Linked DNA regions of Schizosaccharomyces pombe. The protein of the gene in region 1 interacts with the protein of each later gene in a biochemical or structural test. Each region holds a gene or a part of one and is shown in the gene's direction. Other genes may lie near its edges.

What was found.
Region 2: the proteins of mid2 (region 1) and spn2 form a complex in vitro, tested with the Schizosaccharomyces pombe proteins (one study listed by BioGRID).
Region 3: the proteins of mid2 (region 1) and spt20 form a complex in vitro, tested with the Schizosaccharomyces pombe proteins (one study listed by BioGRID).

The regions. Positions count from the first base shown.
Region 1 is NC_003424.3:4,746,027-4,756,836, reverse strand, and holds mid2 (septin ring organizing protein), read left to right. Parts: upstream 1-5,383; 5' UTR 5,384-5,577; coding exon 5,578-7,698; 3' UTR 7,699-7,976; downstream 7,977-10,810. Other genes in the region: proteasome assembly chaperone Ecm29, read right to left, coding at 1-1,830; sdu1 (PPPDE peptidase family protein), read right to left, coding at 2,049-2,654; pro3 (delta-1-pyrroline-5-carboxylate reductase), read right to left, coding at 3,195-4,043; DNA-directed RNA polymerase II complex TFIIS subunit Rpb9, read left to right, coding at 4,505-4,545, 4,613-4,679, 4,803-4,852, 4,895-5,027, 5,103-5,153; MAP kinase-interacting protein Sin1, read left to right, coding at 8,549-8,571, 8,631-10,514, 10,554-10,644; transcription factor TFIIE subunit Tfa1, read right to left, coding at 10,738-10,810. UniProt on the Schizosaccharomyces pombe protein: Responsible for the proper stability and function of septins during cytokinesis.
Region 2 is NC_003424.3:983,950-993,958, forward strand, and holds spn2 (mitotic and meiotic (sporulation) septin Spn2), read left to right. Parts: upstream 1-6,255; 5' UTR 6,256-6,300; coding exon 6,301-6,340; exon of another isoform or gene 6,341-6,389; coding exon 6,390-6,464; exon of another isoform or gene 6,465-6,522; coding exon 6,523-6,651; exon of another isoform or gene 6,652-6,762; coding exon 6,763-6,844; exon of another isoform or gene 6,845-6,906; coding exon 6,907-7,576; 3' UTR 7,577-7,802; downstream 7,803-10,009. Other genes in the region: cytoplasmic poly(A) polymerase Cid13, read right to left, coding at 1,062-2,798; tif308 (translation initiation factor eIF3h (p40)), read left to right, coding at 4,448-4,473, 4,513-4,619, 4,799-5,739; DNA-binding transcription factor Moc3, read right to left, coding at 7,803-9,329. UniProt on the Schizosaccharomyces pombe protein: Plays a role in the cell cycle. Involved in a late stage of septum formation leading to the separation of the daughter cells. Involved in the correct orientation of forespore membrane extension during sporulation. Binds phosphatidylinositol 4-phosphate.
Region 3 is NC_003424.3:5,365,862-5,376,400, reverse strand, and holds spt20 (SAGA complex subunit Spt20), read left to right. Parts: upstream 1-4,556; 5' UTR 4,557-4,630; coding exon 4,631-4,778; exon of another isoform or gene 4,779-4,860; coding exon 4,861-5,847; exon of another isoform or gene 5,848-5,934; coding exon 5,935-6,221; 3' UTR 6,222-6,427; intron 6,428-6,618; 3' UTR 6,619-6,673; intron 6,674-6,714; exon of another isoform or gene 6,715-6,761; intron 6,762-6,841; 3' UTR 6,842-7,001; downstream 7,002-10,539. Other genes in the region: U1 snRNP-associated protein Prp40, read right to left, coding at 1-789; GTPase Fet5, read left to right, coding at 1,409-2,074, 2,120-2,284; protein new13, read left to right, coding at 2,765-2,989, 3,070-3,210; DSC E3 ubiquitin ligase complex subunit Dsc4, read right to left, coding at 3,197-3,898, 4,003-4,045, 4,100-4,200; translation initiation factor eIF2B gamma subunit tif223, read right to left, coding at 7,115-7,486, 7,558-7,700, 7,742-8,183, 8,310-8,580, 8,705-8,853; amidophosphoribosyltransferase Ade4, read left to right, coding at 10,440-10,539.

The DNA.
Region 1 (10,810 bases):
ATCTAACTCCGGTAAAGAAAATGTAACTTCAGGTGGTGCAAAGGATACCAATCTGCTGAGGGCGTAAGTGGGTTCAAAGTGCATGAGTAGAGTACCATAAAAAACATATTCTAAAAATACATTAAAATTTGACAAAGAAATGCACTTTTCAGACACCATTTCTCTTAACTTGGAATCTTGAATCAGTAAAGCGTCTATAGAAGATAGCTTGTCATTGTCGTAAAGCTCTAAGCTTCTATCCGCTGAATAATAAATGCATCTCTCAATAAACTCAAGAATGGCCAAACAATACTCTGCAGCATTAGATTCCCAAAATTTTTTTAAATCATGGTCCGACAAAATAAAAGAGATTACTTCAGAGGCAGAAGGATAACTAGCGGCACGTACTTTATCTTCCTCTTGAGCTTCATTCGTGGAATACACACTATTATACTGAACCCATTGAGATAAGTTTAGTCCTTTTTTAGCTTCTTCAATAAAAGAGTGGTGAAATACGAAAGGATTTTGTACCTTTAGACAAATAAAACGAGCTGGCAAATAATCAAAAGGAAAAGCAACCAATACAAATCGAAGTGCGCAATACGCAGCAGGAGACTCGGGTGAATCAAAAATAAAGGGTTCTAATACTGGCAACAATTCGTTAGAAAATCGAAAATTACTATAGTACGGAATAATAATAGAAAGAGCTTCGTCAATTGAAACTCGTACGTCTGGTAATTCAGATTGTAAGGAGGTCAATAAATTTGTCAGCAAAGAATTAGTAATCAGATGATTATCAACCTTGGTCAGTAAACCTATCGTTGTATATAAAAATCCTCTAAGTAAATCACTCTGAATTATATTACTCGATAAGATGCTAAGAATTTTTTCCAATATCATCGCAGCTTTAGGTTTAAGAAAATTTGGATCAGCTTTGTCAACTACCCAACGAGTAAACTGTATTAACCGGGGTTGCATACTAGGAGGTGCTTCAAGAATGAATTCAATACAATTTATAGCTTTGTCAGTATTCGCAGCAATTTTACTTTTAAGTAAATGCTGAATTGCCTTGTTCCTTAAGCTAATGGAAACAGAAAAGTTTGCGTGCAAAGCTTCGATTCGAAACTTATCAAGCGCTATGTCTAATAGAACGTTCACGTGGGACAAATTCTCTAGATCAGGTAATCCACTATCACGCGTAAATTCATCTGCCAGTCGGGCAACTTCAGAATGAGAATCAGCAGAGGCAAAAAAGTAAGCCAACCACTTCCAATTTGATGGCCAGCTAGATAAATGAATCCACCGAAGCAGACTCAAGCGGTAATCTACTGTTTTTTGGGAAAATTGCAGGTCACTAAAAATCCTTTGATCTTTCTGAATCAAATAGAATGAAGAAAGAGATAAAATGACATCGTTAGAGCATGTAATAGCCGAAGTTGGCTTTGAAAAACGAAGTAAACGAATTGTCAATGTCAATAATACTAATGGGTATTCATTGACATGATTTAGACAAATCTGGAGAAGGGCCAAATTTTCAGAACAAGGTATCCTTTTTTCGCCTATAGATATGAAAGCAAGGAGAAATCTTTTTCGCAAAGGTTGATTTGCTTCAACGTACTGGCTTACTAAGGCTTCAAGAGGTAGTATGGCTTGCGCGTTATTGTTGAGCCTAGTCATAATGTGGTTTGCAATTGAAATTGTTTTGTTTCTCACACTTTCATGAGGCGAATCGAGTTTTAGTAAAATCGGACATAAAAAAACTGACACAAGCGATTGAAAGGAGTCCTCGCTTTCCGCTAGAGCGAGCTTCAGCTCTGCATTGTTTAATAATCTCAATTCATTTTCAGCCATTATTGTAGAGTTAATTATAATCACTAATAAAAAAACACTCTACAATAAAATACCAAACAAAGATGAATAAAGAGATATATATCAGAAAGCAAGTAATTAAAAAAAAGTCCCAAATTGACTTTACACTTAATTGATAGAACAAGGCATAAATAAAATCTACAATTTTGGATGTGTGTGTTGTATTTCGTAGGTTAAAAGGCTGACTAACAGCATGCGACTTAAGGAAGTGAATCAGTGATGAGGTTATTGAGGTCAGCAGAAGGAGGAGGTGCGGAAAATTTAGGAATATCTTTATGAGCTTTTTTACTTTTTGATACGATTAAAGTTTCTTCATCTACATCTGAAGAAGAATCCGAGGAATCATCAACGTCGGATGTATTTTTTTGACCGTGCTGTAATAAGGCATTCGTGATCGTAGGAAACGCCAATCCAATTCGAGAAATTCGATTTAAAAAAGAAGGGATAGGGCTGCCCGTAAGTTCAATTGCTGCAGCATTCGTGAAATGATTGCAATTTCTCTCTAATAAAGAATATGATAACCCCGTAAATTCTTGACTCAAACGAATCAAAATTCTATCCACGTCGGGTTTAGGGAGGGTACAATTAGGTAAAGCAATAGAACAGCGCCATCTACACCCTTCTAAAGGCGGTCTTGGCATGGTAGCAAACACACCGGTGGAGCCAGGAATTTCGTGTGCTCCGAACGCATATTCTTTACCTTCTAAAACCAATCCTGTATGGTAAATACCAAGTCCAAGAGTCCATGCTAGTTTGTTTACCGGACTGTCTGGCATTAGATCATACACATTAATGTATACTTTCATATTCGAATACGTTCGGATGGCGAAGAACAACTTGCAAATTTCCTTGGTCCTCCTTAAGCAGGTTGAATTTTAAGATTCGATACCTGTACAATTAAGTATTTTTAATAAAAAAAAGTAGAGTCGAATTAAGGATAAAAATTTAAAATACGGGAGCTGTTTATGGTGGTGATTTTGTTTACATCGGTACGACTATGACAATGTTAAAATAATCAAAACATAGTACGTTTCTTCAATATTGAATACCTTTAGCTAAATTCACTACGATAGCAATCGCAATGAAATGGGTTTAATTGCATACAACGTTCTAAAAAGTTAATGAAATATAATCTCGCTGTTCGAATACGCATATTATTAGTAATGTAACAGAATTGCAAGCTTAAACAGAGGAATCATTGAATGAAACTAAGTCACAACGCTTTAATACAACTAGATAACGAAACTAGCTTTAAAGAGGAAACAGAAGTACTAACCCAAGAATTTTATATACAAATCCATGTTTGGAACCAGGATATTTAATAGCACAAAATGAATTTGCTAGTATCATTTACCCAGGCCAGAAGCAGTCTTGGTTGCTTGTTCTATACCACGTGCGATTGTGCTTCGAATTTTTCCATCTTCCAATGCCAACAAACCACTAATTGTACATCCGGCAGGAGTTGAAACATCATTACGAATCATAGCAGGATGTTGACCTTGTAAAACCATACGACCTGTACCAACCATAGTTTGGGCAGCCAATTCCTGAGCCTGAGGGAACGGAATACCCATCATTACACCACCATCTGTCATAGCCTCAATCATAGTAGCAACAAAAGCAGGTCCACTTCCACATACAGCGGTAGCAGCATCAATAAGCTTTTCGGGAAGTTTCATTGAACGTCCAATGCCATTGAATACCCATTCAGCAAACTTTATGTCTTCTTCAGTTGCGTTGGGTCCCGGGCAAATTACGCTCATACTTTCACGGATTCGACTAGCAGTATTGGGCATAATGCGAATCACCCTAGTACTTTCATCAAGCATACTTTGCAATGAAGAGATGGTCTTGCCAGCCAAAATTGACAAAATTAATTTTCCTTTGAGCGCTTCTTTCATCTTTGGGGAATTCAAAACATCCTCTGCGGCCTGAGGCTTACAACTCAACAACAAAACGTTACTAATCGCAGCCATCTCGGCATTCTCTTTGGCCCCCATTACAACTTTAACACGATCTCCGAAAAGCTTTTGAACATCCTCTTTTTCTTTAGGAAATTTGACACAAGCATAGAACTTATTCGGAATGATAATTTCGTCAGAAACATCGTTTCCATTTTCAGCAATGGAATCAAAGATTCCAGTCAAAAGTGCTTTTCCCATTGTACCACAACCAAGAACACAAAACCCCGACATTTTTTAAAGTTATGCTTAAAAATGTTTAACTATTTTTGTAGTCTTCTTTTAAAGCGAAAATAAATTCGACTAAAGCATATGCTAAGGGATCGTTAATTCCAAAATCAAACTCATACTGTAAATTACCGTTTTACTCGCTGATGTGCATAATGTAAGATACTGAAGTATGATGTTACAAGTTTGTAGGACTAGTCCATGTTTGAATAATGCTACACGTTAAAGTCAATATATCTTCTATATAATTAGTAATATTAAGTATATCGCAAATAAATTTTAAAGCAGCTACACAGTTTTTAACGAAATCTTGTAGAGACGTTGTAGATAAACAAAAGCTTTTTCGAACTTATAGATGTGAACCATCAGGACGCTGTTGTCCACTGTATTTTCCATATCCACTAACCACCACGTTCTTTTGAAAGTTTATTGCGTTGAAGTAAAATACTTTTGTTTGCTTTTTTAAAATGTCAAATTTTCAATATTGTATAGAATGCAATAATATGCTGTACGGATTAGTTTCTCAAAAAGATGACACTGAAAATTGTTTGAAAACACTAACATGAAATAAATAGGTACCCTAGAGAGGATAAAGTGGATCGTGTTCTGAGGCTAGCTTGTCGTAATTGTGATTACTCAGAGGTAAGCTTGTTTTTTTCTCCTACTGGGTTTATTCACTTCAAGAAAAAAATTCGAAGTTCTTTTCGATTACTTTTTTCCTCATCATTTGGAAGTTTTAAATATCTCATCAGCTAATTTGTATAGATCGCTGCTACTAGTAAAGTTTATCGCCATGAGTTACAAAGCTCCAATGTGTAAGTTAGATTTCATCCTTCGAATAATCACTAAATTTGTAGAGAAAACACGACGGTCAGTCACGACGCTTCAACGGACCCTACTTTACCTAGATCAGACAAAGAATGCCCGCGTTGTCATCAACATGAAGCAGTTTTTTATCAGACTCATTCTCGTCGGGGTGATACTATGATGGTGTGTTTCGCATTGTTTCATTGAGAAAACAATTTTAATATTTAGGTTTAAAAACAATTTTACTGACTTAATTAGACTCTGATTTATGTTTGCGTACATTGTGGATTTGCTTTTGAAGAACAGTAATATGCGACAATTCGGTCTAACAAGGGATTGTAAAACTAGCTGCGTCCACCAATGGCTCTTAGACTTCGGTTTAAATGATCCGCTTGATGTAACCACTCTCTCGCTTCTGTGCTGGAAAACTGGATTTTCGAGTGATACCAGCCACCTTTGCCGAAAATGGATTTACCAGCCTCTCAATCATATGCTCGCCTCCTTCCTTTATATTAAGCAACGCGCCTACCAAAACACTTGAATTTCTTTATTTCACATTCGGTGTACCTTCTGGAATATACTGAAACTGTTTCAGTTATTTGTATACAATAATCCATACGGAATAGCCTTGTAATCCGAATACCAATTAAATAAAAACCCTTAATTCTTTGTGCCTTTATTTTTTTTTATATTCTAATTTCAGCAGAGCTGTTAAATTCCAAGGCTTTCCATAATGTTGATGACTGCTTCTCAACAGGATCAGCATGCTAAAATGTATTTAGCTGACATCCATAGAGCATTGAGAATTCCTTCTCCCATCCCAAGTACTGATTACGAATGTTCTGACTATGCCTCTACAATCGCATCGATATCTCGAGAAAGTACAATGAGAAATTTTAATCGCAGTAACATCTCGTCTACGGCCCCTTCTTTTGCTGAATCTGAGGATGCTGAAGATGGCGATAGTTTCCCTTATGATCAAACGTTATCAAATTCTTCCAGTTTTGATGATCATCAGTCTCTTCTTCCTTTTTCTACAGAAGTTCGTAGGACCCCAACTTACTCTGTCATGAATGAAACGGATAGTAGTAGTACAAGTGTTGAAGACGTAAACAAAGAGAACATACTGTCATTGAACGATTCATGTTTGATCAAATTATCTGATGATGAGGCTTCAAATAAAAGCAGTCGTAGCTCGACTCCACGCAACTCGATAAAGAGTAATTCATCTAACCAGGGCCATGGCGACATACCAATTCCTAAAAAAAATCCTGCTCGTTCCGTTTGTAATTCAAAGCTTTTTAACGAGGACACATTGCCAGCTGAATTTGAAGAAGTTTCAATTTCACCACCTGTCAAACTTGAGTTACCTACTCACTCTCATAATTCATCTGACACTAGTTTTACGAACAGTATAGTTAGCAGTGTTAGTGACATGGTTGGTCTTGGCGAAGGTATAAACAGTATTGCATCTTTTGGTTTCTCTGAAGATTCGTCCTCGTTCCAAGATATAAAGACACCTCCTCGCTTATCATTCGCAGATGAGAACCGAGAGAATTGTAGGACTGATATCTACCGTTCAGATTCTATTCATGAATACGAAGAGCCACTTACGAGCTCCATCACCTCTTTAGATTCCCCTCATGTTCTTGACGAAAATGCTCCGATACCGCTTCTTCCAAAAGTGGTTTCTTTACCAGATCCTCGCTTTACAAATGTTCTTTCAGCCTTTGACGCTTTGACTAGGACATATTTGCTACGACAGAATTCTAAAGTTGTACATGCCACTAGTCAGAAACAAGAAATGCAAACTTCGCGGCGCGTTGTCAATTCTTGTTATATGCCAGAATCGTTATCGCGAAATTTGTCCAGTAGTTTGCAACAAACCGGCGGGAGTGGAAGATTGTTTGTCCGTCTTATGGAAATCAGAAACTTAACTATTCCTTTGGCATCGGGGATGACCACTAGGTTCACTTATACAATCTCTGGTAAGCACATTCAAGTACCATGGAACGCCTTACACTCTACTACTAAAATTGAAAATGAGTATACTTTTGATGAAAGTATTAGTTCTTCAATTGTATGTACGCTCCGTGCGGCTTACGATCCACCTAAGGTTCGCACTCGTTCTACACTTGGAAAAGTATTTTCAACAAATAAGAGAAAGTCTATGACTACCGACCCCGTTTCAGAAGCACTTCATGGATTTGTTTCTGAAGATGGAACTTTCGGCGAAGTTACCATTAACACTGATTCTGTAAGCCGAACCGCACTAGGCCGTTGTCAATCTATGGTTCTACCAATCATGAACAAATGGACTGTTGATCCGGCAGCTAAAGATGTCAAGCCTCTCCCTCGAAAAGTAGGAGAACTCGAAATCCACGTATTTTTCTTACCAGCGCTTCCTGTCTCTCTGAAAGAACTTCCCGCTTCAATCGAGTCTGCCATGTATGACTTAAAGCTTGCTGAATGGGATAGAACTTTATTGTGTGATGGTTATCTATGTCAACAAGGTGGGGATTGCCCTTATTGGCGTCGTCGCTATTTTCAATTAATAGGATCAAAGTTAGTAGCTTTTCAACAATTCTCTAAAGTTCGCAGAGCAACGATTGATTTGTCTGAAGCCACACATATCGTGGATGACAACCATTATAGTGATGAAGAAGAACTAGAAGGGTATCTGTATTTCGAATCGGGTTTCCGTATCATTTTCAGTAATGGGGACTACATCGATTTTTACGCTGAAACCGTCGGCGAAAAAGATGAGTGGATGTCTACACTTCGTCAGCATTTGGGGCAATGTTCAATGGTTCACAAAAATTGGACCAAATCATTTCTTTCGCTGAGTTTTTAAATTGACCATTTGCTTCGACCTCACTTTTTCTATTTAAATCACATTTGGTCTTTATCTTCTCCTTTATCTATATCGTCTTGCATTTTTCATTGGTTTTGTTGTTTCCCTCGCATAATACATAATGTTCATTTTATCTACCATCGAGAAGCTAGATTCGGTTGAAATGAGCTCGTTTTATATAAGCTGTTAAAAATCGGATAGCAATTACTTACTACTCCCCATGTATATTTATACTTCAGTTGCAAAATACTTCATTTTTGAAAGTTTCCCTTGATCCGAAGAAACGTTGTCAAAATAAGTTGTCTCAAAACGTTTATCTTGGCTTTGTAAATAAATCAAATTCCTTAAAATACTCTAGCTTGGCGTTGTCGAGTGAATTTATTAAGTCGTAAGCTTGCCATTTGAGAAACTTCAAAAAATAAAAATTCCACAATAATTTAATTACATTATTCTGTAAATAATTAATACCGTAATTGCTATATAGTTCAAATACCATTTTTAGCTGTTTCGCAATATCTAAAACGTATATGAGATCACTTTTTTTCATTGTCTAGCGTTTTTGTACTTCAGTTAATAACTGTTTGAATTAATAGTTTCGTTCATATTTTGCTGTCTTTTGAAATTTGGTGGTACTTTACGGTGTTACCCCCAACACTTAATTAAATGCTTAGCGGGGGATACATAGCAACTGAAATAAAGCACGCGGCGTCCGTCACCAACGTTTCACATAATTGAGTTTACAAATTTTCTATATTAAGGTGCCATAAAAAGTATGGTCGCTAAGTATTCAAACTTCGTTGAAATTAAATATTTTATAAAGTCTGTAAATGCGATATAATAAGGACTCAGAATGGAATTAACAAGAGAGAAAGTGTAAGGATACTATTTTTTTTCCTATGAAACTTATACAAACTAATACGTTTATTTTACAGTCTTTTGTTAACATTTTTGCGAATGCAATATTCTCATATACTTCCTGACTCAATCGAAAATCGAGTTATATCTACTGAGGCCCCGGAATGGGAATTGGACAAATCATTGCAAGACTTGTTGATTCATGATTATGATTATTCTAAAACTTCGTTTTCTTCAAGTCCCCCGATTGTCGCTAATGACACTGTATCCAATGTCCGAAAGCCGAGTGATACTAAACAAGTAAATGGTGCTGGGGGTCAAGTTAATCATTCTCGAGCTGAAGATTCTGATTATGCTACTTCTGACTTATCCGAATCTTCAGATGTGGGTGATGACGATAACTCGTGTATATTTTCTTTTAGCAAAGTCCCAATGCAGAAGGATGTTGCAAGTATAAAAGAAGAGGAAAGACTGGACCCCAAAATTTCCACATTAAATAATATTGATGCTATCGCAAATCTTAAGCTTACCAACATGGTAGAATCCTCGCAGGCAGTGAATTTAACCTCGTCCAAACAGTCTTCCATAAACCAGCAAAGCAGTGTTTCTACGGATTATGATGATCTACGGTCGATTTCTGAGGAATCATTTCATTTAAGTCAAGGAGAAATTCCTCTTACTTTTCCAATGAATTCTTCCTTAACTGACACTGAAGCTGATGCAGTTGTTGCGGTTGATGCTCTTTTTCCTGGTAAGCAACGCGGAACACACAATACAGTCAATAAAGCAAGATCTGTTTCGAACGCAAAGGCTCCTACATCTGCTCTTCGTGCATTACTTGAACATAAAGAAAACAGTAGCCAGAATGGGCCATTGGCTGAAAATTTTGCTACTTTTTCTGGACATGCAGAATCAAATGCCCTCCGTTTAAACATTTATTTTCCTTCGAGCGAAAGTCCTTCAAAGCCCTTATTTGTAGAACTCCGAAAGAATGTTTTGGTCTCTGAGGCTATCGGTTATATTTTACTTCAATACGTTAACCAGCAACTCGTGCCCCCAATAGAAGATGAGGCTCAAAATCCGAATTATTGGAATTTACGTATTGTTGAAGATGACGGGGAGCTAGATGAAGATTTTCCCGCTTTGGACCGTGTAGGTCCATTATCAAAATTTGGTTTTGACGCATTTGCTTTAGTTAAAGCCACTCCTGCCCAAATAAAGGAAAATCAAGCTGCCTACCCGTTTAAATCGAAGCATCCAACATCAATTCCTGAAGCCAATAACAAAACGCATATTCGGCATACTAGTTCAACTTCAAGTCAATCACAAAAGCAAGCTCAGGATGTCAAAGATACACTTAATACTTCTCATGTCGTACAGGTACGACTTCCCCCATACGGGGATAATGCTCGATTTTGCAATATTGAAATATCAAAAACTACTAGATTGGCTATGGTGTTGAACCAGGTGTGTTGGATGAAGCAATTGGAGCGATTTAAGTATACTCTGCGAGTTGCTGGATCTGATACTGTTTTACCACTTGATAAAACATTTAGTTCACTAGACGGAAATCCAACTCTAGAACTTGTTAAAAAGAAGGTACGCGATAAAAAAGGAAGTACCCAACAATTGCCAACCTCCTCACCACAAAATTCCGTTTATGGATCTATTAAGAAAGATGCACAATCTTCAACATACAATGCAACAGATATTATGTCGAGCAATACCTATCAAGAATTTCTTGTATGGAAACGACAACCTGTTTCATTTATGGGAAGACATGAGCGTCTACTAGCTATTGATGGAGAATACGTTCACATAATGCCGTCTGAATCCAAAAATATATTTGAAACGCCTAAGACGTCCAGTATACATGCTGGATCGATTATTTTATGCAAGCAGTCTAAAAAATCACCATGTAATTTTAAAATGATTGTGTCCAAGAATAGGGAAACTAAGCGGTAAGAAATTTTTTAACGCTAATAAGCTAACGAGTTCAGGTATGATTTTGAAGTTTTGTCCGCCTTGGAAGCTGCCATTATAGTTAGCAGGATACGTGCACTGATGAATACTGTTAAAAAAATAAATTAACATTTATTTATTACAAAAAGATTCTATGAATACATAGGTATAAACACCTTTGTTTTTTGGTATCACATTGCTCTCTCCCCTATGTCATTTTTATTAAACATCTTCAAAATCAGCTTCATCTTCATCGTCTTCATCGTCCTCATTAAATCCATTAATAATAACATTC
Region 2 (10,009 bases), 3.8 Mb from region 1:
CATACCAGTGCTTTGTTCGCACTCACATTAATGGGTTGATGATTCACTCCTGTGCAGGCTTTCGACAGAGTATGTAAAAACCCGTTGCTTAAAATCAATGGCATAAGATTTATTCCCATGACAAGGAGCATCTCAAGGAGATCTAATCAATTGCAAAAAAAAGTTATGTAAATAAACGTGATGAAATCCAAACTTCTTAGCAAACTCAATAACTGAAAAGCGATTAGTGTTCATCTCGTAAGACTTGCTAGTATTTTTCCTAGCTCAAAATGTACCATATAGTAGGTAAATTCTTTGTGTTTTTTTTAATTTTTGGCGTTTTCTCATTTTTTAAACCAAATCAGAATTTAAACAAAATATGTTCTGACAACACTATTCAAGCCATCAATGGCGGGTAAAATGTAAAGACAACGAAAACTGAGTACGAAGTTTTGTTGTAGGTAGAGGAAGGGGAAACACGGTCAAAATGATTAAAGGGATAGGGGGTACTTGTAAGTTATTAAACTTATAAGAGTGAAGAGTAAAAGCAATCTAGACAGAAGATATAGTTCCTAAAAAGACTGATAGTTCGTGAATGCTAATATGCAAAACCACCAAGATATCAACCTTTACAAATGCTAATGTTTCCACTGAACTTAAGAACACAATTTAGGCTTTTAAATAATTCTCGCGATAAACAGTACGCAAAGAAAACGCACATTCAACAAAATTTTTCGTATGTGCAATAGAAGGGAAAAATAGTTTTATAAATAGTAAAACGATATAATTGAGCCGAAAACTCCACACATAACCAGAAAACCAATAGTAAATAGTAAAAATTGCAAATAATAAAATGAAAAAACTTTCCTAAGTCATTTTATCATTAAATATAACGGAAGAAAGGAAAAAGAAAAGAAGAAGTAAAGTGGACAACAAAGATAAACGAAAGCGGGCAAGCGAATAAGGCTCAAGTATTGGCGAAATCAATATGCAAAAATAATGTAAAAAGTATGAATTAGAAAAATTAAGATAGAAAGATAGCTACTAACGAACCATCAGCGAACGTCACCAAACCTTCAGCATCAACTCTTGAATGCTTGTACTGTGGATAATACCGGCTCACTGTGTAAGCTAACTGGCGATACTACTTCAGAAGAAGAGGAATTTGAAGGAGGTGAATTGTTATCCGTAGGAGTAAAAGAGAAGGCATCAGGATAGTACTGGAATGGACCCGAAGATTGCTTCTTTTTGTGAAACTTATTGCGAGAATATCGCCGAGAATTAGACAAATTTTTTTCGTGACGATCCCCGCCATGCCTCTCATCAAAATGGTGTGAAGATTTGGGGTAGGGAGAATTATACCATGTATAAAAGTCCATGTATGAGGGTGGAAGATAGCTATTATTATTAATATAGCATGCATAGGTGTAAGGGTCAACAAAGGTATAAGGGACATTGGGAGGGATTGCAGGGACGTCGTTTGAGTATATAGAAGAGTAGTCAATGGATGAATTAATATTCTGATTATAATAGGGAGAAGCGGTTGCATTATAAGGATCAAAGGCCCAAGCAAAATGTGATGGCTCAGGAGGGGATTCTGTACAGCTGGTGTCCGAAGAGTCACGACCATGGGAGAAACCAGGAACTATTTCCAATTGTAGTTCATTTACATAATCGTCCATAAAGCTTGTGTCAGTTAGAGAGGGAAAAGTAAATTGCGAACAAGCATCGTCGACATTGCAATTATACGCTAAAAGACGGAAAACACGTCGAAATTCCAATTGTATTCCTTTCATGGTAATCTCATCTGCAGTATTAGCTAGATTTCGAGATGTATGGAAAGGCTCTTCAACACACAGAAAATTGTTAAGCTGAAATTGCCATCCTTTTGCTCGTTTCGAAAGAAAGGTACCGTGTCTAATGGATAAAACAAAATGCTCGTAATCAAATAAATAACCAAAAAATCGAAAAAACTCTACGAACAGGATACCAAGAGACTCCTCGTTTTTGTCACCAAAACCATGAACAAGATCTGGATCGTCGAAAAACGACACATCCAGCCCGTCAGTCATAGTAGACGAATCTTGTAAATGAGGAAGCATTTGCAAGCTGGGAAGAATCGGTGGATCGCGCTTTTGTAAAAAGTTTATAACCATACAGCTTATGGTGTAAGAAGTGAGTGTACCGCCCTCGGCAGCGTCATTCAAGCATCGTCTTTTTGCCCAATATTTAATCATAACAATCAAGGGCCGAACTCGGGGATCACAAAGAACGTAAGAGCGCATCAAACGCGTGTTTAAGGTAGATATAGTTTTATTGATATTGCAATCGCATGATAGTTGTAATTCTGAGTCCCAAACCTTTACAATTGGCACTTTAGCTGTTGAAATGCAAACGACCTTTTTAAGTCCGTTCCTAGCAAAGGCAGCTGACACCTCGCAGGTCGTTGGAGCACATTGAGGCGGATCAGTAATGATACACAAATCAATGTCTGATGCATTGCTGGCAAGAAGAGATTGGGTTGACCCAAAAAGGGAGGTTTTGATATTTTTATAGGGGAATTCTTTTTTCAATATTTGTTCGAGTTTCTGCACAAATGCATATCGACGTTCTAAACCCGAGTCGTTCAGTATAATAGAGTCATACAACTCGTACAGTTGAGAAGAAATTAGATCAGTATCAATATCAACTAAATTCTTTAATGATAGAGGATGTACTGGCGGAAGTGGATCCGCACCGAGGCTATAAGGAATACGCCTTCTATATTGAAAGCTGCGAGTTTCAAATTTGCAACCGCCAACGCAATTAGCGTTGTCCATAGTATTAAGAGGGTAAGAAGCTTCTAAGGTTTAATAAGTTGCAAATTCTCTATGGATTCCGACGTTATCCTACCTTGTCAGCTAGTAAAGGCGTGAGTTCTTTGTAATATGATCAGCTTTGATCTGAAACGATCCAGCAAGAACAGTTCAAATGTACGAGCCCTATCGACAAGAAAAGACAATTTAGAAGTACTTCTAAGTTTCAAGATCGTATTGATGAATTAATATGAAGTTGGTAATGTTTGTAGCTATTCTTAGGAAGAGGTGTGGGATAAAAGAACCGCCTAACAGCAATACGTACGTACATAGGTATCAGCTTTCCTACACAAGGAACAAGTACGGCATCAACATAGGATCGGTAAATAAGTAACAAATGAATATACAACGCCGTTATAAAGTAACCTTAATATATTCACGTAAGACACCTTTAAAGCAACGTTCAGCTAATGATATTTTTACAATCTTCAACTGAAAACAATAAACAAAGTAATCATCAAAGAAAAAACGCAAACAATGACGTTGGCATGACAACGAGCATAATTGACACCTTTCTTGACGTTTTGACGTTAAATAGCGTGATTCCGTAATCTGCGTTATTCTATAAACAAACTAGCAATACATAAACATACATGATCAATGTTGCTCCCACAAAGCATGGACTTGACTTTCCAATTGAGTGGAAACGTTCGTGTAATACTTTACTACTAACGAATGTACAGCAGACAATATTAAATAAAAAACGCCGCCAAGTAAGCTATCCATCTAACTCCAAATACCATACAATTGACTCCTTTAATAAGAAACATAAATCAAACAATCTAACGGAATTTGAAATCGTTTCATTTATTCACTAAAATCTACGCTAAAACATGACACAACTTCATCTAGAAATTACATCTATGTCATCAAACGACACCACAGTTGTAATATAATAGATGAAATTAAACACGTCAGAAAACACCAGCTGCCCTACATAATACGACCAAAAGGAAACATATCATGTAAGAGATCATCGCATAGAAAGACAGCAAAACAATTAGGTAAAAAACCTAATCGAAAAGCATGCCTTCAAAGAATTAAAAGTCCTCACTCTGAGGGCAACGGTGCCTCCTATCATCATCCGTGTTGAGTTCTGTGGCTAGGTTAGGAAACCCAAGCCGGACGTATACTATAGAAATGATCCTATGGAGTATCGTCGATAGTGTTTTGTTGAGGATAATGACCCGTATATATAGTAAATATAACGGAAAAGCAGTCACATTCATTTCCAATCAACGAATAATGTTGAACTTTCAAGTATAATGCAGTGTCAATTACACTATATTAAAAAGACTTTGCAAGGCGGTGAAGCTGCTCTTAAATTACAATAAGCATGAAAATCATATTTCGGTAAATTAGTAAAAGAAGTCATGAAAATAGAGCTTAAGGCCGAGAAAACAAAAAAAAAATTTACAAATTTTTTAACTAGTTAGAAAAGGTTTAATAAAACTGGTAGGCTCCTCTATTCTATAACTTGTAATCGCCGACAGCCATGGCTTTAAAAAGTTGCTACTTGTTGTTACTTGTCATTAAACTGGTGAACACTAACTCCTTTAGAAGTTCGTACAGCAATTTGCACTTCAACCAACTACTTGGCAGACTTAAAAAACATGTCTGATACAACTTCATTGAATGTGTAAGAATGACTAAGATATATAAATAACTAATTCAGTAGTCCAGAATTGGAGTCTCCCCCTATTGAGCGGGTGGAATTAGAATCTTTACTTGTAATGAATATCATCAAGCACTGCCGTGATTCTTTTCCTAATATGGGAACAATTGGTAAGTGTAGTCATTGGAGAATAAGTTTTCCCTATTTTTCGAAATGATAAAACTTGCAATTTTTCTGCATCAAAGATGCAGCTATGCATTTGTCAGCTCAGTAATGCTCTACTTAGTGAAATTTCTTATCAACCACAGTTTCTCTCTTGAAATAATATTTTTAACTAACTTTCGTTCAGGTCAGCTTGTTGGTATTGACATTGATGGTGTTTTACAAGTCAGTAGCAGCTTCGAGTCTCCGTCTGTTCTTGAAAATGAAGAGTCTGCTGTTAACAAGTCTGTTTCCGGTAAAGCACGCCAAGCTCATACTGAGGCGATGCTTAATCGTCTTCAGTACATTGGTGCTGTTACTGGTCACGTTGGTTGGTATTTGGGAGCCTATGTTAGTTCATTCTTAAGTAGCCCCTTTTTTGTAGAAACGCAATATGCTTATCAAAAGGCAAACCCCAACAGTATCGCTTTTCTTTATGATTTGTCTCAATCTTCTAATGGAACTTTGTACATGCGTGCTTATCAGTTAACTCCAGAGTTTATGGCTGCCCATGAGGAAAAAACTTGGACCGCCTCCTCCCTCAATAGCCACAACTTGACTCCTTCCAATGTTATCCGTGAACTTCCTATTGTTATTCACAACTCTCATTTGGCTACCTGTTTGCTCCACTCTCTTAGTGAGCCTCCTACTCCAGCTTCTACCCTAACCGCCGAAGCTGCTCTTGAAGATTGTGAAAGCAACTTACCCTTGACTGAAACGTTCAGTAACTTTGAGGTTAGTTTGGGTACCAGATATAGAAAGAATATTGAGTTATTATTGGAGTCTACTGATGAGTTTCATTATGAGCAAGGAAATCTTGGATTTCATCAACGTCAACTCGCAAGAGAGCAAGCTAAAATTCAACAGTGGATTGCTAAGCGTAAGGCCGAAAATGCAAATCGTGCTGCCGAAAATTTACAACCTTTACCTTTAGACGATTGGAAGCGAATCTTCAAGCTCCCTGCGGAGCCTCGACTTCTTGACTCTCTATTGATTAGCTCTCAAATTATGAAGTCTACTCAAATAGATGAACAAAGTTCTGCTTTCTTGTCTAAGCTTGCCGGTGTACGAAACGCTTATGCTTCTTAAGCTACTGATTGGTAATAATCGCTTAAATTTAGCGCTAATTATTTGTGAATCTGGTTGAAAATTTTTAAGGACTTTGATCTCTGTGAAGCGGTTGCATGTATTTGTTTATAAAAAATGGAGCATTCTTCTTCACTCTCACTAGTTATACCTCGTAGCATTAAAATAAAAGGATCTACTTAATTATAAAAGTTGTTTTGGTTTTCTTGATACAGCATATTGGTTTGTTGAAATACAATGTGCAAAAATATACCATGATTGTAATTATAAGAAACAGTTTAATCTTCAATAGTGCATTCAGTTGCTGGTAATCTACTTGTTTATCGTATTCGAGTTTTAGGTTACATTGCTAATTTAATATATTTTCGGGCCCTTATACAACATCGAAACACTTTTCTATTAATAAAATATATTGTTAAATTTTGTTTTCTCTCTGTTAGATTATTTAAAAAAAAAATCGTAAATATTGCCGAGACCTTTTTGTTTGTTTTGACTTGCTTCACGTTACAATGTTGACTTGGCCAAAACCAACAAATTCCAAATTCATTCAATTCGCAACTTGCAATGGAAGTTCCTTCTGCAGTTACCCTAAATAATTATGTGGGTATGAAAACAAAAGAATGTTGATAAAGAGTCAAAACTAATGTTTATAGGGTTCGATTCTATCACTTCGCAAATTAACCGCAAGTTAATTCGTCGTGGTTTTCAATTTAATGTAATGGTGGTTGGTACGTATTATTTTTATTACAGATTTTCAATTATAATGATGTTAACAGTTTCAAATAGGACCGTCAGGTAGCGGAAAAAGCACTTTGATTAATACTTTATTCTCTGCGCACTTGATGGACAGTAAGGGTCGTCTGGATTACCAAGCTCCTTATCGCCAGACAACTGAAATCCATGTTACAAGCCAAGGTATGTTGATTTTTTTATAGTTAGGTTTTCATCTTTGATTGAACTCATTGAGCTGGCTTCAATGAGTCAGCAATCCTTATATTTATTATGGTTACATTGCTAACCACATAGTCGTTCGCGAGAACCGTGTTCAATTACAATTAAATTTAATCGACACTCCTGGATATGGAGATCAAATTAATAACGATAAATGGTAAGTTTGATCAGTGGAAATGGAAATTTCTATTCCTGCACAGCAATTTCTAACTATAATAGCTGGGAGCCTATAATTAAGTACATTAGGGACCAACACTCTTCCTATCTTCGTCGTGAATTAAATTCACATCGCGAGAAACGTCTACAAGACACAAGAGTACATTGTTGTTTATTCTTTATTCGCCCAACTGGACATTCTTTGCGCCCTATTGATATTGCTGTCCTCAAACGCTTAACAGAAGTCGTAAATGTTGTGCCTGTTATCGCTAAGTCTGATTCATTGACTCTTGAAGAAAGAGCAGCATTTAAGCAGCAAATCCGTGAAGAATTTGTTAAACACGACATCAATTTGTATCCTTATGATTCTGATGACGCCGATGAGGAGGAAATTAATCTAAATGCTGCCGTCCGAAATCTTATTCCTTTTGCCGTGGTCGGTTCCGAAAAAGCCATTATCGTAGATGGAAGGCCTATTCGTGGTCGTCAAAACAGATGGGGGGTTGTCAATGTGGATGATGAAAACCACTGCGAGTTTGTTTTTCTTCGTAACTTTTTGATGCGAACTCATCTTCAAGATTTAATTGAAACGACCTCATACTATCATTACGAGAAATTCCGCTTTAAGCAATTGAGCAGCTTAAAAGAACAGTCTTCCCTCGCAACTAGAATGGGAAGTCCCGCACCTGTGTACCCTTCTGAACCACATCTCCATACAGCCACCGCTCAATAGTCTTCTTCCTAAGGTAATATATAGTATGTTTAGAACAAAGACTAAACCATTTGTATGACTGTCGTACCGTAATTCGTAAATTTCGGCTCTTTTTACACTATGCGAATCTTACAAATGAAGTGTTTATCTTATTAACGAGAGATTATATGTTTGATGCGTGATTTTGTCTAGCTATTATACAGTTCTATATCAATATTTATTGAAAAGCATCAAAATGATTTTAAAATTAAAGTACTGGTCGATTTAAGACATTGCAATCCATAAAATGTTCTAGCATCAATCTTCCGAAATGAGATTCGATTTGTGCCCGAAGTTTAAATTCTTTAGAGTTTGATGCAAAAACATTTTGTAGAGATAATACGCATAAATAGGAAGTGCGTAATACTGCAATATCTGTGCATTCTTCTTGCATTAATTGCTGTAAGCCAGAAAGAACGTCATTATTGTTTTTGGTAACGGCATGTCCTACACAATCTATAACTTTAGTAAGAGGACTTCTTGATGCTGAATACAAGTGCACATGATATTCATCTCGCCAAGCAACCATTCGTTCTCGATGCAAATCATCAGACAAGGTTGGTTGAGAGAGAATGTCCAATCCAATAGTAAACAAAGAATCCGAAACAGGTGCATGACTTCGAGAAACAGAAACTTCCGATAAAGGCTTTCCATTAAACCCCCAGATACACCCACGAGGAAGAATTGCAAAAACTAGTTCACGAACGACCATAGCAATCAATAAGCTGACATAATTTGATTTGGTAGACGAAGACCAACTTAACTTTCTAATAAAATTATTACAAAAATTGAGATCATAGGCTGGGAGATTGAGCTGAGTGAGAGTCAAAAATGCAGAAACCAACAGGTATTCAAAAGAATTGGGACCAGGCATTGGACAGCGAAGAGCTCTGGTCAAATGACTGTAAGCACCAAAAACGTCGAGCTTCTTAATAGACGCAAAAGCCATTAAAGAATTAGCAATACAAGGCATCGATTGAGCAAACTGGGGAACAGTGACTGACCAAAAATGCAAGGCTATGTTATTATCAAATTCAAATGCACAAATAGAAGGTACGACATCGTGAAAATAAAACGGAAACAGTTCGGAATTAAAGTTTGAAGGGAAATTGGAAACTGATGAAAGAAAAGGGTAAGAGGCCTGACCCACCGATTGTACAGAGGGTTTTGTAGACGAAGTAGCGCTAGAAGAATTATTTGTAGGAACGTTATGATTGGATTGAAGGTATTGATGCTGTTGATAAGCACTTGGAAATCCTTGTAAATTCATAGGTTTTTGATGATCCTGTTTGATTGGGGTAACGGTGGATAAATTGGAGGAGGAGGTCATCTGATTAAGATCATTTGTATTAAAATTGGATTGTGAAGAGCCGGAAAAAGTGTCTCCGGTTTGAGCGCTACTTGAAGCAATTGAAGTAGGTATCAATGGCTGTTGAGCAGAATGAACGCTTAGCTCAGGAGGCGATACACTCCCCATGGCTTGCATTTGAGCAGCTGAATTTGGATAACCTTCACATTCCCTATTTGTCTTTGTGCAGTTCAAACAAAAAGGTTTGGTTTCGTCGCACTTGATCCTGCGACGGCGACATGTTAAACATCCAGTTTTCGTTCTTCTTTTTGTGGGCTTGGGCGTAGGCTCGACGTTTGGGTTGGGAATATATAGCGGATTTGAATTAATACTACCCGTTCTATTCCGTTTCATATGAATTTCGGGATAAGAAACATACGGGTTCATAACTGCAAGGGAAACAATAGATAGAAAAAAAAAGAATAACAAGATAATAGGAACTAAACAAATCAAAAGTAAAGAAAGCCCGATTTGAAAACGCTACGCTGCTTGAGAAAAGCGCGCAAAGAAAAAACGCAAGCACAGAACATGAAATTGGAAGCCGATTTATACAAAATTTAAGCTCCAATTTAACAAGGAAACTAAGCACCTTTTTCGTAAAGGCCAAGAAACTCTTTGTAGTCTTTTTTTTAAAAAAGGTAGCGTTACTAACTCTATAATTATATATATATGAATACAATAAATTATTTCAGAATAACCGGACGGCCAAACTGTTCGTAATAACAAAAGAAAAAGCCCTAAAAAAACAAAAGAAGGTGAAAATCAATGGTCGTCTAGCAATTTGCTAGCAACTCTTGCACAATCAATAGGTTTATAGGAAGTGACTTGAAAACAAAACTAGCAAAAGCGACAAGCTCACCCAATTTACAAATGCAAATTTGGGTGAATAAAGGACTTAGAAAAAATGTTGGAACAACTTTCAAGTAGGAACCTCGACATTAGCGAGTGATAAGGCGGCAAATTTGATAAGCCCAAAGGCAACAACAATACTAAGAGCTTTTTATTTAGACGTTAGTAAAGTAGCTTGCTTGATACGCATTAGTACAAAAATCCAAAGAATTGAGAAA
Region 3 (10,539 bases), 620 kb from region 1:
CTTCCTAATCTTAGTTACTCGGTTCTTTTCTGCATCACTTTGATCGGTCAAATAGTTTAAGATGTACGCATCGAAAGCACATTTCCGATGCCAAGGATCCTTCATGACATAATAGCCCTTAGCATCACAAAGCTCTCGGACAGTCTGCTCCCAAGTCCAGCTTGGGTTGACATTATGAGAGTCTAAAAATTTAAAGAAAGCGCGCTCTGCGGCTTCATAGGTATCATAGTTTTCGTGCTGATAATCATTAGAACGTTTTTGGCGCTTATCCTTTTGTTGAACAAAGTTTATAGTTCGTTTATGACTGCCTTGTGAAATTTGTTGGCTTTGATCTTTAGCTGGTTGACTTGAAGGAGCAGCAACATCCGGACCATGCCGTTGAATGCTTTGAACAGCTGGCTTGTTGTCATTGCTTTTGATTTTAGACGACAAAGCCTTTTTTTGCTGTTCCGGTTCATCAACAAGGGCAGCTTTATATTCATCAGGAATATCCCACACTGATTCACGGGTATTGACATTATACCAATACTTTTTGCCATCAGCGGTGGCATATTCTTTCCAAGCTAGTTTCGAAAGCTTTTTTTCAAAGTCATTCATTAACTCCTCTGGTTTTTCCCAAACACTTTTGCGCGTTACTGAGTTGTAGTAATAAACTCGAGAATCTTCTGTCTTCACTTCATGCCAGTCAGAGGCCACAGTCTTGGAAGGAGCTGCTGACGGCCCTTCCTGATTAGACGTGAATCCCTCAGTTTCATCGTACTCTGAAGTTTGCCATGGAGGTGCAGACATCTTCACATTTATGAATAACTCCCCTTAAAATTGGGGTTGTGGTTTAAGCCAGCGTGTAGAGTTACACTCACTGTTCACTACAAACGGGTGTGGTGGTCGAGTCTATATGTGGGGGACTCGTTGTTTCACTGTATTATCAACTACGTAATATCTAATTGATAATAGAGATACGTTAGACTGTGGTCAGTTTAGAATACATTTACTATATTGTTGTAAACAGGTCTTGAGAATAACAGACTTCAAAGTGAGTTAATTTACAAGCGATGCTATAGCCGTTGCTAAACAACTTATGACTGAGTTGAAATATGGAGTGAGTTAAGCTGTATCAAGAGAAATTAAACTAATTTTATACAAGAAGTAGAAAAAGCTATATTGACATCGTACTTATATTAGGGGGTATTCAAAAAAATGAATGTTTTTAGTGACGTTTAACGTAAATTCTGCAAGACTTAAAGATTTAAACAGAGCGTGTTATTCACAGTTAAAGTATTTGTTGTTAAAAGTCAGTAAAATACTTAGGGCATCGCATGGCGAGTTATAAGGGTGCATACGGGCACAGGTAAGAAGGCATAGGATAAAAGAACACGACGTTTCAAAAGACGTTAGTCTTTTTAGAAAAATGGTTAAGGTGGCAGCTTTTGTTTGTGGTGTTGCCAGCAGTGGTAAAAGTACGTTTTGTGGAGCATTAATGTCTTATATGAAAAGCGTTGGACGTTCTTGCCATTTAGTTAATTTAGATCCTGCTGCAGAAAACTTCGAATGGGAACCAACTGTTGATATTAGAGACTTAATATCCATTGATGATGTTATGGAAGAGCTGGACTACGGCCCTAATGGTGGGTTAATTTATTGTTTCGAATTTTTGATGGAAAACTTAGATTGGTTAAATGAAGAAATTGGCGATTACGACGAAGACTATTTAATTTTCGATATGCCTGGACAAATTGAATTGTATACTCACGTACCAATTTTACCAGCATTAATTCGCCATCTTCAAGTAACCCTAAACTTTCGTCCTTGTGCTGTCTACCTGTTAGAAAGCCAATTTCTCGTTGACCGTACAAAGTTCTTTGCGGGTGTTTTAAGCGCAATGAGCGCAATGGTTATGATGGAAGTCCCGCATATTAACTTATTGAGCAAAATGGATTTACTCAAAGACAACAATAACATTACAAAAGCGGAATTAAAAAGGTTTCTCAATACAGATCCACTCTTGCTCACAGGTGAAATTAACGAAACAACAAACCCAAAGTTTCACGAACTTAATCGGTGCATTGTTCAACTGGTAAGTCACAGAATCATAATTCCTCGAGCTTCTGCTAATGACTAGATTGATGACTTTAATATGGTCAATTTCCTTCCTCTTGAGAGCGGAAACGAGGAAAGCGTAAGCAGAGTACTTAGTTATATTGACGATGCTACCCAATGGTACGAAGATCAGGAACCAAAAGATCCTGATCGGTTTGAAGCAGATGATTTAGAAGACGATGAATAGGGAGATACACGTATAGAAGGGTAAAAATTTTGGAACCGGTGCATAGATTCTTATGATGTTAATGAAAGTCGAAGAGTTTCAACGTTTGCGAATTTTATTTATAAATAGTTTGTAATTTGACACATCTCATTTGTAAAGTTTTAGCATAGTAGTTTGAAGAAAACAATTAGATATTTTTTTGTTTAAATATAAATAAAATGTTTTGTAGGAACTTGAATGCATTTACTGATTATACAATTGATGAGTACAACAATGGTTTTAAATCCGGTTCCAACAAAGTACACAGTACCAACAGCACTATGTGAAAAATGGTTTAAATAAGAAATGGCTATTCATTAACTAATCATGTACAAACAATGTAATCAAAAAGCTTTGCTAAAATTCGGCATAGAATTCTTTAAAATTGTTTACCGAGAATTTCCGTACGTAAAATGAAGTGAGTGACATGCAAAGTCATCAGCCAAAGCCAAATAATCAATTATGGGACAAGTACTATCAATATGTAGTTCCAAGTCAAAGGAAAAAAAAGTGGTGAATGAAAAACCAACTGTAAAACCAAAGCCTGCAGTGAACGTTCAAAAACCAGCAAAAGCCATTACGAAAGCTAGCTCACCTCCGCGTACGGGCAGAAAACTAGCGGAAACCGGTAATACATCAAATAAAGAGCATTTATCCCCCACAGAAGCAGCCCGAGTTGCAGCTGAGGTAATGAATCTGACAAAAATAAATGAAACCCAGATTTTACATTATTGAGAATCATTGAAGTAACTAACTATTTTTTTTAGAAGCGCAATATTGAGAAGAAAAAGGGAAATGGAAAACTCGGTAGGCAATTGGAAAAAGAGCGAGCAAAGCCAATGAAAGAGCATCTTCAAGACATTTCAACACAACGACAACAAGAAAGGGAACAAATCAAATGGGATTAGTTAAAACAGAGTTCGGTACACCTGTGGTGTTGGAAGATAAAGGCGAATTGTTAATAGAATTTGTATTCGCATTTTCAGTAGCATACTGAGACTTCCATACCAAGTCTTTCCAATCCTCCGAGTCAACCTCAATGCAAACAGGGGTAGAATAAGAATCTGCTGATTGCCTCTGGAGGGGAGTGTTTCTGTTTTGTGGAGAACCAAACGATAATCCGTGTTGAAAGGAGTATAATGAATGAGAAAATCGAGCAATCAACCTTGATCGTTCATTCTCTAATTGCCGTTGCAAGTCTTCTTGCCTTTGCCCTTGCTGTGTATCACGGGAATCCTCTGTTATGAGATCAGATGGTTCCTCGTCTCCGTCAACATTGGAAAGGCCCGACTGGGAAGCTTGAATATGAGATGCTTGAGTTGGGCGTTTGTTTGAAGCAATTAGAATAAGCGCCATGAATATTTGTAGACAGAAAAGTACAAGATCGGACGTTATAAAATCTATACGTGAAGATTCATTTTTTTCTCCAATGAAATTGATAATAGAGCCACCATACAAATATCCATCCAAGCTTTCTCCTGCAGTAGGCAAATTAAAGAACATACGCACCATTAAAGATATTAGAAAATTAAGCAGAAGCGGATAAAAAAGCGGTAGAGCGTTTAACTGAGAGAAAGGTTTGGGGGTAAGGTAGCTCTAGCAATTTATGTTAATACATGACTAGAAAAAAGCAAAATCATGAACATAGCATCTCTGGCTTTTGTATAATGAAAAATAAACTAAATACTGGAACAACTTACCAATTGAACAAAAACCTTGAGTAACAGCAAGAGAACTGTAGGGCTGACAAGAATTAGATTAGTGATTTCTACTATAGAATCCAGAAATTTTGCTTACTCTTGAAAATATTGTTGAGCTATAATTGCATAACACAGCATATCTAGCGATCGAAAAAAGCTGAACACTTCTCCCCGCTGATCTAAGACAATAGTGTCCATGCCTAATTTGTAGAAAAGTAACACAAAACAAGAATACTTTTGAGAGTATCAGAAATTACAGCTTTAAACAAAATCAATGAAAACTTTGTCAATTTCAAATATTTAGATATTAATTTGAGTCAAAAGTAAACGCAGAATGAATCATGCCAACAAGAACTTGCTGCGGTGGAGGAAAACGATAATGCCAGAACTGCTCAAGCTAGAGGCTATTTTGGATTAGGGCTTTGAAGCGCGTAAACTGCAAAACTATTAACGAAATCTTGAACTTCGATACCATTAATAACGCATCATTACATTTCGTTATGTGAGCAAACGCTTCTATCTATCTAACCTAGTAGGATTTGAAGAATTTAACCAGCTTATAATTTTAATTGTAAACATAGGGGGAATATTGTTTTACAATTACTGGTATAGTTCGTTGAACTAAGAGATGGAAAGAAATAATGGTTTGGGCGACTATACGTATCGCTATCATGGGAAGGAATTGAGTTTGGACGATTTTCAGAATAAACAAGGAATTGAATCCTCAGATGATGCATTTTTATCAAAAATTTATGAAAACGTTTCGAATTTTAATGGTAAGTAGTGTTGAGGAAGTTTTGCTTCTTTGGTTTTTTTGCGTATTTGATTTTATCGACTCTAACTGACATAATACTCAAGTTCCCAGAAAATTGCATGATATTGAACATAAATTTTCGAAAGAAGAGCCGAGTTTAATTCTTCATATTCATAAATTTCATTTTCGGTTTGAGCAACAAGATGGCGCCTTCACCTATAATGGGCCGGTAAAATCAATTTTGCAATATATAAGGATGGAGCTTATACCACCTGATTGTCTTGAAGTATTTCGGAATTCCGATGTAAAATTCTATGATGGTTGCTTAACGGTTCGTATAATAGATCATCGGCAAAGTCCTTCTGCTGATCAGACTGTGCAACCTCAGCCTGGCTCTACTAATCAACAGCAGCAAAATAACACCAACCCAATTAATAATCAACCTGAAGATACCAAACCCAATACTAATTCACCTCCAGTGTATCATACAGTTCTTCGTCCTACTCCCGAAACACTTTGGCAAGATTTATGTTTACTTTCAGAAAGCTTTGCTAACTCACTTTCGGATGAAGCTGTTTTGACTTTGGAATCCAACATTCTACTAGCGTCAGAAGCTCCACTTTTCTTAACTCCTGCGAAGTCTAAAGCGGAAATGATTCAATTTATGAACCAGTTGGCCGACTCTGCACCACCATGCACCAGAAAGAAACCTCAAGGATCAGCCCAACTTGCTGATGAAGAAGCAGAAAGACTTGAAAAAGAGAACCTTTTGTTACTAATGGATGACCAAAGAAAACGCGATTTTCAACCTACCTTTCAAAGACTACAATTTATTGAGAATGTGCGGCGTAAACGAGCTATTCTACAACAAAGGCAAATGCAAATGCAACAGCAACAAAAAGCGCAGCAGCAGCAATCACCGAAAGCTCAGCAACCACCCGCACATTTGGTTCAGTCTGCTCCAGTTCAAAGAAAAACTACACCCAAAATCCAACGTCTACCACCTAGTAGTATTCAAATTCCCCCTCCGAAACCTATGCAGAAATTCCCAGCTAATGCGGCATCTTCTGAATCGCCCCCCAATGCGACTGGTAAGTGTATTAAAGGCTTATTTCAGTACTTTTTGAGTTCAATTCAATTTTATTTTAATTTTGTATTTATTTTTCTAACAGCTTTAGGAAACTTTTTACCTTCGGGTCCTGTACCTGCAAATGAACCTATGTTAAAACGAGAATCCGTGGATTTGATAAAAATACGACAACTTGCAATTTTGTTTCAACAGCGTGCCTCTCAATTAAAAGCTAGAGGTGCTACACGGGAACAAATTACTGAAATTCTGAATCGTCAAGCAATAGCCGCTGGTACTGATTTGGCAACAGTAATGACGGTTGCACGAAATCTTCATTTTCAACAACTCCAAATGAGACAGCAGCAACAACAGCAGCAAATGAAGGCTGAAAGGTAACTCTCAAATGCTTCATCATTTAATACACGAATTTAGTTTTTTATTTATTATTTTTAAAATTTTATTTTTTTTGTTGCATAAATACGTTTTTTTACTTCACTTCATTTTCCTCTATAAAAACTTTTTTGCTCATGGAACAACTTGGCGTTTTCACTTACCAGTGTGAGATATGTAATGTAGCTGTTTCTAATAACACCCAGTTTTAGGTAAGTAAAATTAATATGTTATTTGGATATTTTTGTATGATGACTATAATTTGCGATTGAGCGATGGTATTGCTCGGGATCTTGCCTGATTCCCATATGGGCTCCATCAGTATGCGACAAATAATCTTCTGATTGATTTCCATTACATCAACTGCTTTTGTTAATACGAATACCTTGCTAACTGTTTTAAGTTTTAAATATTATAATAATGGAGTTAAAGAACGTCCTGTTTTTTATGAACGTTAGGTAAGGCAATTTAATTTTCAAAACAAATAACCGTTCTGCTTTGCAATTGATGAAATATTTGCTTATGATCAATAAATGATTCTTTTATTATCACCAAGATCGCTGAGTGCTAAAGTTTTTGGTTATTTTATTTGTTTTAAATATTTTCGAGTTATTACTAACCCATAGCGATATGAACTTTTTTAGATGTATATGTGTATAACCTTGTATATATGTATAACTTTTTTGCATATATATGTACATGCGTTTTCATCTGTAATTTATTCCCCTTCGCTTTTAGCTAATATTGATCTATGAGTATATATTTTTAATCTAAAAATTCCTGACTAATATCACCTTTACCTTGATTAGTTTAGACACACTTTGTAGAGTAAGTGCACGAAATTTTTATTATATCTATTTCAAAAAAAAGGTTGGCTGACAACGGTTTGATACACAGTATTAGTCCATGTCCGTCTCAATTTTTTCCATATCAACCAGCCGCTCACCCCGAGCGATACGGCCAGCTTCAACGCGATGATCAACGCCAATTTCGCATTCACGAAGTTTTGACTTAGCGCCTATTTGAGCACCTGAGGCGACTATGCAAGATTCTAAACGTACTCCGTCTTCAACAACAATGTTGTCCATCAAAATAGAGTTGCTGACCACTACCCCTTTTCCAATTACACAATTTTTACCGATAATGCTCTTTTTAATGTTGCTGTTATCCTTAATGGTGGTACCTTCATTCACCATACAATCGGCACCGACCAGTGCTCTTTCGGACACGGTGACATCTACAAGGCGTTGTTCTGGAGTAAGTTTGGCGATCTAGTTTGCTGTTAGAGATATTGGATGAAACTGCTAAAAAGCGAGATGAAGCTCAGCTTTCGAAAACATACGCATTTATTAAGTTCGAAATAGTTAGGTAAATTATTAGCCCTAGAACAAATAATCCCATCTTTGGCAATTAAAGCATTAATTTTAATTTCCTGTGAGGATAATCCCCCATCATAATTATCAATATTGTTAGGAGATGACAAAACTTTAATTGTTAGAAAATAGTTAATTAAAAAAAGCACTTACATCTTTGAATGTTCTCTCGTACAGTAAAGGATTTCTGATATTGACATTTAACAAGATACGGGATGAGATCTCCACGAATGCTAGAAATAGATTCTTTCTCCCGGATCAAATCAATAACCCAGTGTTTAAATACAAATATATGGGCATCCGAAAGGTTTGTATTTAACGTAACCCTTGGGTGTTTCCACAACAAAGACATTCTAAATGTAAAATCACTGCCCACGTCTGCGGAACTTTTGGCATACAATAGTCTGCTCGTCTTCTCTTCAATTCCAATCAGTTGTTTTGCATCAATCTCTTTAGATTGACTTGTAATATGCTCATATTTTAACACTGGACTATATACAGCCAGTGCTGAAGGGTTATCAAGGCGAAACTTATCCAAACCGTATATGGGAGGGAGACCAACTATACTATCACAACTGAGACACACAAAGTCATTCTGGTGGGTATCGGTTAGCATTTTTTGTGACTTTAAGACGAGTAATTAAATTGCAGAATGAGAGAGAAAAGATCAAAAAGTCTAAGAACACATGCATATCTACTTATACATAAAAATAAATCATACCTTTATAAGATGGGATACAGCACGAAGAGCATCGGCAGAGCTTTTAGAATCATCTAAAATAGTCGGTGCTTCCACGTGAATACGCATATGTCCCTCGTAGCCAGATCGTAACCAAGCATTGATATGGGCTTCCGCTTCTTCCATGCAAATAAGAATAGCAGAAGTAAATCCAGCAGCTTCAAGCCAATATAATGGGTAGTGAAGCATCGGTTTATTGCCGATAGGTAATAAAGCCTTGGGAAGTGCATCGCTTCCAGTCAAAGGATATAAACTAAAACATGGTTAGTATTTTCTTATTGTTATTTTATCTTTTTTAAGTGTTGATGAAGATAATATGTGCGAAGTCATCATTATCCAAATCGTTAAGTAGTCAGTACTACACTTGTTTGTTTTACCTATTGCCAAATCCTGCAAAAACAACAGCTTGAAATTCAATCGGAATAGACTGTAATTGAATATTCCCCCGATTTCGTCCACCAGAAATAGGTCCAAGGATTGAAGGGCTACTGGCTAAAGGAAGTGCAGCATGCTCATACAACGACATTGTGAGATGTTGTTCTTCAAGGCGTTGGATGCTTTTACAAAAGGTTTTTACCTAAAAGGATGCTTTGAAGCCAAAATCTTTTATAACCTGATAGAAGACGAATTATTGGGTTTTTTTGCAGTACGCCAATATTTGATGAAGATGGAAAACCTTACTTTCCTAGATCCCTACTAACGAGCCAAAAGTTTACACGTTACACATCACTATCTGAAATAAAAATGTGCTGAATTTATATTTGTGTTTAGAAAAATGTATTCATGAAATATGAACTATTGATGATTTTTTTTTAAAATGATTTACCAACTCAAAATGTGGAGCTGCTTGAAAACTAATTATTGCTTTGCACTTGTAATTTTGTTTAATGTGCAATATTAAAAAAGATGTTTTAATAATCAACGATTTATAAATCGGTACGTTTTCGCGATCCTGGTTTATAATCAATCCGATAGTAAAAAATATCAATCAAGCGCTCAGAAAATGATCCTCTGTACACCAATTAAGGAACAAATATTTGAAGCCGGTTAGTAAACTATTATTTTGAGGAATCAGAAGATTAGAGATACAGTACATTGTGTATTGTTTTCATTAGTTTTTTAAGTTTAAAAACCATTGGACTACTGCAATCGTAACAAGTTGAACTAAAAGTTTTGGATTAGATTACCCATAGCTCTCATCTCGGTGATTAATGTATTGTTGTTAACTACCGAGTAAAGAAGGAAGAAAAACCAGAACATTGAAAGATTTTATAACAAATAAATAGTAATGGGATACCTCCGGTAAAGCTCAATAATAAGTTGATGTGTATGCGGCATTACTGTAACACTGCACCACTCTTAACTTCATCGAATTTTTTTTGATATAAGAAGGTTTTATTTAAAGATATATTTTTAAGCTTAAAAAATTTTTTTTGGCAACAAAAATAGCAAACAATTTAATATCATCTACCCTGTCAGCTAAGTAGCAAGCTATACCTGTTACCTATATTAACGTGCGCATATCCCACCTCTCTTTAAGCTTCTATTTAGCGAATCGTTCATCACAATCTTGAGCAGTCATAGTTTCGACTCATACTTCACTATCATTTAAGGCGGACAATAAATTAATTTATACGGCAGCAAAATTTTGCCTTAACAATATACCCAACTACGGTGTTTGTTCAGCGCGTACCTGAAAATCTTTTTTTTTTTGTTTCGTACGCGTTTTAAAAAGTAAGTTAATATAGATATTGATTTTCCAACGCCGCAGTACTTGCCTATGATGATTACCGTTTATTTAGATGCTAGACTTCTGAATTTCATCTTATGTAGCTACAAGGTTTTCTGAGGTCTGCTTAATTGATTAAAATTTTTTATTTTCTGTGATGGTAACATACAACTCATTTTACGGTCGGTACAAAAAAATTGAAATTATATTCCAAGTATTCTCAAACTTTGATTGCTGTCCGAATAGAACAGTCCGACTCATATTATTTTAATCAAGTTATAGCAATTTGACTGGGTGCTGTTTTTTCTTTTGTACATTTAAACCTATCATTTTATTATCTTTTGTATTCAATTCACAACCGAAGCTCTAACAAGTTTTAGAAAATGTGCGGAATTTTGGCGTTAATGCTTGCTGACCCTCATCAACAGGCATGTCCTGAAATTTATGAGGGTCTTTACAGTTTGCAGCATCGGGGTCAAGATG